Oryzias latipes: one gene and its partner. The protein of the gene in region 2 interacts with the protein of the main gene of each other region in a biochemical or structural test. Links are inferred from orthologs where the notes say so. Each region holds a gene or a part of one and is shown on either strand. Other genes may lie near its edges. The genes, in order: map3k8 and nfkb1.

Evidence for each region.
Region 1: the proteins of nfkb1 (region 2) and map3k8 form a complex in vitro, tested with the Homo sapiens proteins (2 studies listed by BioGRID and IntAct, with this or other methods). The link is inferred for Oryzias latipes from reciprocal best matches to the Homo sapiens genes NFKB1 and MAP3K8.

What each region holds. Positions count from the first base shown.
Region 1 is NC_019878.2:7,520,235-7,524,613, forward strand, and holds the start of map3k8 (mitogen-activated protein kinase kinase kinase 8), read right to left. Parts: upstream 3,106-4,379; 5' UTR 2,941-3,105; intron 2,424-2,940; 5' UTR 2,397-2,423; coding exon 2,073-2,396; intron 1,989-2,072; coding exon 1,818-1,988; intron 1,312-1,817; coding exon 1,050-1,311; intron 337-1,049; coding exon 230-336; intron 1-229. Other genes in the region: mtpap (poly(A) RNA polymerase, mitochondrial), read left to right, coding at 3,383-3,533.
Region 2 is NC_019868.2:30,824,988-30,829,459, reverse strand, and holds the start of nfkb1 (nuclear factor NF-kappa-B p105 subunit), read right to left. Parts: upstream 2,807-4,472; 5' UTR 2,552-2,806; intron 1,646-2,551; exon of another isoform or gene 1,627-1,645; intron 1-1,626.

The DNA of each region.
Region 1 (4,379 bases), on a different chromosome or scaffold from region 2:
GGATGATGGATGATGGGAAGCCTTTTGGATTTAATCCTAATGTTTCCAAGCACTGAGCGTCAGCAGCTCTTGGGTCAGAGAGTGCAGCGATTACTCCTGCCGCCAAACTACTGACGCGAGCTTCTCTGTGCCTAGAGAAGACAGGCGAGTGCTGACTAGTCCATAAAGTAATTTAGAGCCTAGAAGTCTGCTGACTCGTTAAATGAGTGCATGTGTCTAGTTTTCTTACCTCTGTTCCTCTGAGGTCTCTTGGACTGTAGACGTCCTCCGTCATCTGCACCGCCAAACCAAAGTCCACCAGCACGGCCTTGTCTGACATCAGGACGATGTTGCTGGCTGAAGTGACAGAGACCACAAATTACCGACTCGAAGACACCGTCTAAGCAACTTGAGGAATTTCTGCTGCAGCCGATGGCATTTAGAGTTTTCAGGTTTGTAGTTTTCAGCCCCTCCCCCTCCTGAGCTTGTTTTGATTGTAACAAAGCAAAGGCCACGAAACCTTCAAAGATGTCAAGGCCTAACGGGGTCAGGCCACTGGGTGTGTAAGCAAAGGGCTCAGGGTGAGGGAAAGCCCTTTCCCGGCAACAGCCTGATCATGCTGTCAGAGCCTTGTGTTGACAAACACCACTAACCACGCATGAGGCACAATGCTGCTACTCCCAGACTTAAACAGCAAAAGAGCAGCTTGAAGCCTGGAATTTCCACTCTGTGGCAAGACCGTTCTGGCTTTGATCACTGACATGCTTTGCTCTAAGCTGCATCAAAGAATGGGGCAATGATAGAAGCCTAGAAACACAATGTCATACGGCAGCAAAATGTTGATATGAGTAGGTTTTTTTTTTAAATAATACTATCAAGTCAGTCGAATGTCAATGGTTTGTGGTTGTTTTACGTGAATCACTCCTTCTTGTGCTCCACTATTGTTTCCCCAAACGACATCCTTTAGCGGTTTGCCTCTGACGTAAGGAATGCTCAAGCAAAATGACGGCTTCCTGCTCCTCGGCCTGCAGGAGGTCCATTGACATTTTAGCAAAGTGTTGCATACTCACGCTTGATGTCGTGGTGGATGACGTTGTGCGAGTGCAGGTACTCCAGACCCCGCAGAACCTGCTTGGCCACCCAAATGATCTCAAACTCCCTCATGGGCCCACAGCTGTCCAGCTTCTCCAGGACGGAGCCTCCTTCTCCCGCCTCCATGAACAGGTGGACCGTCTGGTCCCAGAGGACAGCGCCGAACAGCTCAGCGATGTTGTCGTGGCGGAAGCGGGCCTGGAATTCTACGTCAGCCGCCTTAAAGTTCTCCAAGGGGATCTGGGGGGAGAATGGGTGGGGTTTAGAAAAGTATCAAAGCAATTTTTGAATAAATTACAGGAACAATTTTATGTCGTCTTTTTATTGCATTTTCTTTGAGAACATATTTTCGTTTCATGCTCTTGTTTTACGCTAGGATTCTATTAATTAATTCCAGTTCGCATCTTAATGGAATCACTTTAATTATACTCTGATGATAGCTGAAAATCATTCTAAACTCTACAGCTGAGAAATTCCTGCAATTTACCCCAGATCAGCTGTAAAAGGGCAACGCAGAATTTCCTTGCTTACTTTAATCTTCACCCCCCTTTTTTTTTTTGTTAACTTGGTTCTTCTTTCCAGCGCACTGTTCCTCTTTTAGGACAAAGGAAAACTTTGCAAGTGTCATGTGTCGAGTGCACATGAGCAACTTTGCAGCCGTACTTGCACGGGTCGTTCTCAGCAGGGGACCCGAGTTTTGAGAAGCTGAGAGCCTCAGTTGCAGGTGCACCTCAGGCAGAACTCACCAGCTTACAAGCCATTCTCTTCCTAGTGGTGGTGTCCTGAGCCAAGTGGACTTTCCCAAATGAGCCCTTGGGCACGAGGCCAGAGCCGGGATTCTTGTAGGTCAACCTCCAAGCAAACAAAAGCACATCTATGTTGATCTGGTATCGGCCCTTTTTCACAGCCATGTCCTTCTGTAAAGCAGGAAAAGTGGTTACGAAAGTCAAATCATTTGAAATGTTATACAGTTTTTACTTTTAACAGAAAAGAAATATCACCTTATTTAGGAGAACTCCTATTTCCTTTGGCAGGTGTTGCAGGAGGGGCGTCTGCATGCTGGATAGCAGGTTTACAAAGGCCAGGATGTCTGGCACTGTCCCATACCGAACCCCGCTGACCGCGTCCTCCTGCTCAGCCACCATCTCCTCTGTCTCCTCGATCTCATCCATCTCCTCCTGGGAGAGACCCTCTTCATCAAATGATAAGCCTCCCTCCTCTTCCTCCTCCCTAAGCTGATAAAGAGTCTCTGCGGCGTTGATGATTTCCTCTACATTCATGTGCGCCAGCAGCAGTTCCAGTCCAGTGTCGTATTTGTAATCCATTTTGATGCTCTGCTCGTCCTTCTCAGCCTAAAGTCAAAGTGGAGAGCAAGAGTCCATTTTTAGCACAGAAGGGAGCAGTCAGGGCTACAGCATGTGCAGCCAGTACTCTGAGGCTCTGTGCTGTGCTGCAACAGGCTGAGTGCAGCTGGGTGGAGCTTACACCACTGTTTTTCAAGGAAAAAGGCAGATGTAAGCTGGGAAACCCCAGGCCAGCATGGACCTTCACTCCTGTTTATGATTATCTATGCTTAGTATTTGAAAGTTTTTCCAAAAAACATGAACATTCATTTAAGTCATTTTTCATTCAATTGTGTTGTGACAAACAAAATGTTACATCAGTTTAATGATATATATGTAATTATAATTTTTTAAGGCCAATTCTGTCTTAACTTTTATAAACATAATAATAGCGTTGTTGTAATTAATTTAAAAAAAAGTTTAAGAAATGGGTTTTTATGATGATGGTCCACAACAATAAGAGTATCTGCTATTTAAACATGACAGAATTTTTTTAAAAAAAGAAAAGAAACAGGCAAAAACTCACAGTAGTTTCTCTCAGAGCGTCTCCATGATGCGTGTCTGTCTGCTGTCGTCGGCTGTCTATTCGAACTGGCGGACGTGAGAGACCGCTGACTACTTTAGAGAAGGAAGTAAACACAATGGAGGTGCGCGTGGGTTCGTGCTGTGATGTCAGACTCCAATGCTTTGCCCTGTCTTGGTTTCGTTTTCCCTTTTCTTGTTTCCTAAGAAGGAAATTTTTGTTATTTTCTTTATCTTTCCCATTTTTCTAGGTTAAAATAATAATTAATAAAACACGAGTAATCATGCTTCAATTAAAAAAATATGCATTTTTTTTGTATTTTTATTTTTAATTTAAAAAAAGTTGTAAACTTGTTTTTTGGGGTTTGTGGCGCTGTTTCATGGCTTCTCTCACTCGCCGTAGATGAGTTTGTGCGCATGCGCCTTTCAGCTTCGCTCCGGAGGCCATGGCGTCCTCCTTGCCCGTGTGCAGGTTGTCTGTTTGGGGCAGAGCCAGCCTGTTGAGATGCTCACGGAGGACCGACACGGTTATCCACAGACGAGTTGGAACTAACACTACTGCTGCACGGACGGAGTCAGCTCGAAGAGACGAAAACGGTGAGTGTCGTGGAGTTGGAAACATGTTAGCATGGAGGCTAGCCCTGAAAGATGCCGCGACAGTATGAACTCCATAGAGAAAAGCTCAGGTTTTATGAAACAGACGCGGCAGTGGGCGAAGTTGACTTTGTTTTTAATCACAATAATATCTGAAATAACAAGATGAATAACACCTATTATTCGGGATTACGACGGTCTTAAAGGACTGATAGAAAAGTTGATTTGCGGGATTACAGAATTACATGTGGCAGTACAGTCAGTTGTAAAAAAAAAAAAGTACAGATAACAGAATGAGTAACAAAACGTGCACTAAGCACCAAACTTTACTGTCATAGAAACACAATCTGAAATATTAGCTTTGTTAAAAGGAAACGAACTTTATCAAAACAAACGCAATGCAACAATATTATTAAAACAAGGAATTAGTTCAAATGTGAAAGTAAGATCCAAACCCTCACATGCTAGTACCAAAAACACAGCAGCACTATTTAAGCATGGTGGTGGTGGCATCCTGGTTTGGGTCTGATTTAATCATGTTAATTTAGGAAAACTGGGTGAAGACTGATAAATCCTCTACTTGTACTTTTACCATCACTGTCACGGTTGAAACTAATACACTGAAAGGTTGGAACGGTAGAGCGATATCTAACCCAAATCATGAAAGGATGTGTGGTGAATAAATCAGGTTTGCAACCATTTTGCAGCATAACAATTTTGGCATGAGACCCAAATTACTAGGTCAAACTCCTCAGCTCTTTTTAAATAGACAGTGCTAGATCCAAACATATTTATGTCACAATTTGTTTAAAGGTTGCTGAAGGGCATACTTGTTTCCATTTAGCATAA
Region 2 (4,472 bases):
ACTACACCGACGCGGACTCCTTACTGATGCGACTACACCCACGCAGACGCGGTACTACACCCATGCAGACGCCTTCCTTCAGTGACTACACCCAGGCGAACTCCTTACTGATGCGACTACACCCACGCAGAGGTCCAACTGAAGCAATTACATCCACGCAGACGCTGTACTACACCACACAGACGCCTTCCTGCAGTGACTACACCTACGCGGACTCCTTACTGATGCGACTTCACCCACGCAGACGTCCAACTGAAGCAATTACATCCACGCAGACGCTGTACTACACCACACAGACGCCTTCCTGCAGTGACTAAACCGACGCGGACTCCTTACTGATGCGACTACACCCACGCAGACGCGGTACTACACCCATGCAGACGCCTTCCTTCAGTGACTACACCCATGCAAACGCCTTCCTGCAGTGACTACACCCATGCAAACGCCTTCCTTCAGTGACTACACCCACACAGACACCTTACTGATGCGACTTCACCCACGCACACGTCCAACTGAAGCAATTACATCCACGCATACGGCTTCCTGCCGTGACTACACCCACGCAGACTCCCCACTAAAGCAATAACATTCACGCAGATGCTGTACTACACCACGCAGACGCCTTCCTGCAGTGACGACACCCACGCGGACTCCTTACTGATGCGACTACACCCACGCAGACGCGGTACTACACCCATGCAGACGTCCAACTGAAGCAATTGCATCCACGCATACGACTTCCTGCCGTGACCACACCCACGCAGACTCCCTACTAAAGCAATAATATCCACGCAGACGCTGTACTACACCACGCAGACGCCTTCCTGCAGTGACTACACCCATGCAGACTCCCTACTAAAGCAATAACATCCACGCAGACGCTGTACTACACCCACGCGAACTCCTTACTGATGTGACTACACCCACGCAGACTCCTTACTGATGTGACTACACCCACGCAGACTCCTTACTGATGCGACTACACCCACGCATACTCCTTACTGATGCGACTACACCCACGCAGACTCCTTACTGATGCGACTACACCCACGCAGACTCCTTACTGATGCGACTACACCCACGCAGACTCCTTACTGATGCAACTACACCCACGCAGAGGTCCAACTGAAGCAATAACACCCACACAGCCGTGGTACTACACCCATGCAGACGCTTTCCTGCAGTGACTACACGCAGACGTCCAACTGAAGCACTTACATCCACGCAGACGGCTTCCTGCCGTGACTACACCCATGCAGACTCCTTACTGAAGCAATTACATCCACGCAGACGCCCTACTAAAGCAATAACATCCAGGCAGACGCTGTACTACACCAAGCAGACGCCTTCCTGCAGTGACTACACCCACGCAGACTCCTTACTGATGCAACTACACCCACGCAGAGGTCCAACTGAAGCAATAACACCCACACAGCCGTGGTACTACACCCATGCAGACGCTTTCCTGCAGTGACTACACGCAGACGTCCAACTGAAGCACTTACATCCACGCAGACGGCTTCCTGCCGTGACTACACCCATGCAGACTCCTTACTGAAGCAATTACATCCACGCAGACGCCCTACTGAAGCAATTACATCCACGCAGACGCCCTACTACACCTACCTGCAGAGACTACACCCACAAGTTAAGAAGATGCTTCACCTGCCAATGTGGAGGTCTCATGACCTTTTGCATCGTGTTCTCATTGGTGATTCCAGAAGCTGCTGAGACAAGAACTTAAGCGAGGTTCTAACAGTTTGTTCTTTAATTGCAGGAACATCTGTGAAAGTGATGATGATGACAGTAGAACCTCCTCCAAACTGAAGAGGCAGAAACCGTCACCATCGACAGGTTTGAATCAACCTTCCCATAACACAGAACCCTCAAAGTTCTGTCTGGCAGTTCAAACCGAAGCAACAACAACAACAACAACAACAACAACAACACAGAGCAGCAGATAAACAAACCAGCTGCCTATTTGTAAACAGTATGGGTGGGGGCGGGGATAGTCCAGGACTTTTTTATGAAAACAAAAATGTTCCCATCCTTCGTGCCAATTATTAAAGCGTTTTTTTCAACTTCGGAATTTGGGTAGGAACATCTGATTGTGCGCGTGCCTGCTGCGCGGGAACTCGCTCAGCCTCCTGAACGCCGCGAGGCTCGTTGTTTACGTTCTTTTAGAACACATTTACACATTTGCTGTCGGTCCCACGGTGAGCCCGTGCGTGGGCTCTTCCAGTCTGACTGCTGCGTTCACGGTCCGGTCCAAACAGTCAGAGATTCCGCCACGTGTTAAACTTAAACCGCCATGAGCCGACGTTCCCTCGTTTCCGAACGTTTTCCGGTCAGATTCTTTATGGTTTGTCTTTGTTGCCGTACTGCCGCGAGCACGCGACCGTCACCTTATTAACACAATAAACTTGGAATAAAATGAGTGTATTTCTACTTTTTGCCTCTTTGTTGTGGTAAAGTCCGCGCGCGAAAACGAATGTCCGAAGAACAAGGAAGTGAAAGGAAGTGGCGTGGTCTGTTCTGACCCGGTTCTTACCTGTTCAGCTCAGGTGAACGTCCGCAGGTGAGGGTTCTCGTGCCGCTTCACCTCAGGGGCTCTCGCTCATTTTTTTGTTTTTTTTGTTTATTATTCTGTCGGAGCGAATTTCTGCCTTTTTTAACGGCTATGCGTCATCACACGACACGAGCGCGTGCCTGCAGCTTCTAACAGCTAAAACGAAGAAACAAATGTGCGCGAGAGAGTGACGTATTGGAGAGCGCGAGCGCAGGTGACAGGGCGCGCGCTAAAGTGAGAATAAAGCAACTTCCTTCCTCTTGGAAATTCCCCGTGACGTAAAAGGAAACAGAGAGCGCGGTAAAACGAGGAGGTGTCACTCTGAGCGCAAAAGCGAAAATGTCCCCAAAAACTTTTCTGCGACACAAACCAAAGAGACGCGCGGAGGATCCACAAACAGAACCAGAACAACAAGACAAACCGAAACCATCAACAGGATCCAGAAAGAGGAAGAATGTAATGTTAGAGACAGATCAGGATTTCCTTTTTAAAAACACACCAACCATATTTATAGACGGGATAGAATTTAAGCTATGGTGTTAATTTCAGGTTCTTAAATGGTTTATTTTTTATCTTCAGTGAGCCGGGAATATTTTTAAAATGTAAGGATTACTGAGGGGAAGAACAAACTAAATATCTGTGCGGACTCTCCTTCATTCTGGATGGATCCACAGCAAAGAAGGTTTCAAAGGAGAAAACATCTTCAGCTTAAATGATGTCCAGACAAGCCTGTAAAGCAAAATACCTTTTCCTGAAACAGATTCAACCCTGAAGGATATTTGTACGAAAAGGTAATGTAGGCTCTGGGTGGTCAGGAGAAACTCCCAGATGAGGCAGGTAGGAGTGTACTTGGTCATCAGGACGGAAGGATGACAGGAGAGTTGGTGGTGGAATGAGGAGGTGCAGGAGTTTCTACAGACTAAAGGCCCGTACACACCGGGACGAATATTCGCCAGGCGTTATTCGCCAGCGTTTTTCGCCACGTTTTTTGTGTTCACACCCAGGCGATTTTCGCTGACGATGAGCCGAGCGAACATGCAATTTCATTCCCTGACGTTAGATGGCGCTTAATGTAAAACAGAAATACTCCTGTACACAAGGTGGCGCTGCGCAACTTTACGATTCTTAAAGTCGCTTTTCACTCTGAAAAAGAGAGCAAGTATTTACGCGCTAGTCAGAATAATACAAAGAAAACATGAATATTTCAAGCACCAGTAGCTCCAACTGGTGCTTGGTAAGGGGATATTTTAGAATGTCCGTCATTATTTCTTTGCGGCAGTGTTGACGCTACTTGGCGTCTAACTTCTTCGCTGGTATGTGTGCTCAGCAAGGCAGTTTTGTGTTTGAGCGCCCCCAAGTTGTGTTTTACTGTAACTTCAGAAGCTCCAGACACGTGAGCAAAAGCGCCATTCTCATTGGTCGAATAGATTTCGACGAGACGCGTCGGAAAAAAAAAACGAACCCGAGGCGTTTTTTTTTTTTGACGCTTTGGCGCTTGGCGTTTTTTCGCGTCGGTGTGCACACTCACATTGGTGCCCTTTGTTTAGTCACGAGGCGTTAAACGTCGGCGAAAATCGCCGGCGAAATTCGTCCCGGTGTGAACGGGCCTTTAAGAGGGAGAGACTGACCTGTACAGATGAGCAAGGCAGAGAGAGTGAGAAAGGAAGGGCATGCAGCAGGTTAGAGTGGCTAAGGGTTGGGATGGTTACAGATTGACAGGTGTCAGAGAAGACTTTGAAGAGTTGAAGGAAAACGCCTTCCTTCTGAAGGAATCTTTTCTGGATTGAGCTGGGCATGAGCGGCCCATCAGCTGACATGGTGTCTGTCACGTGAGTCTGGTGGGTCCAGGTGGATCCTGGTGGGTGCAGGTGGATCCTGGTTGGTCCTGGTGGATCCTGGTGGA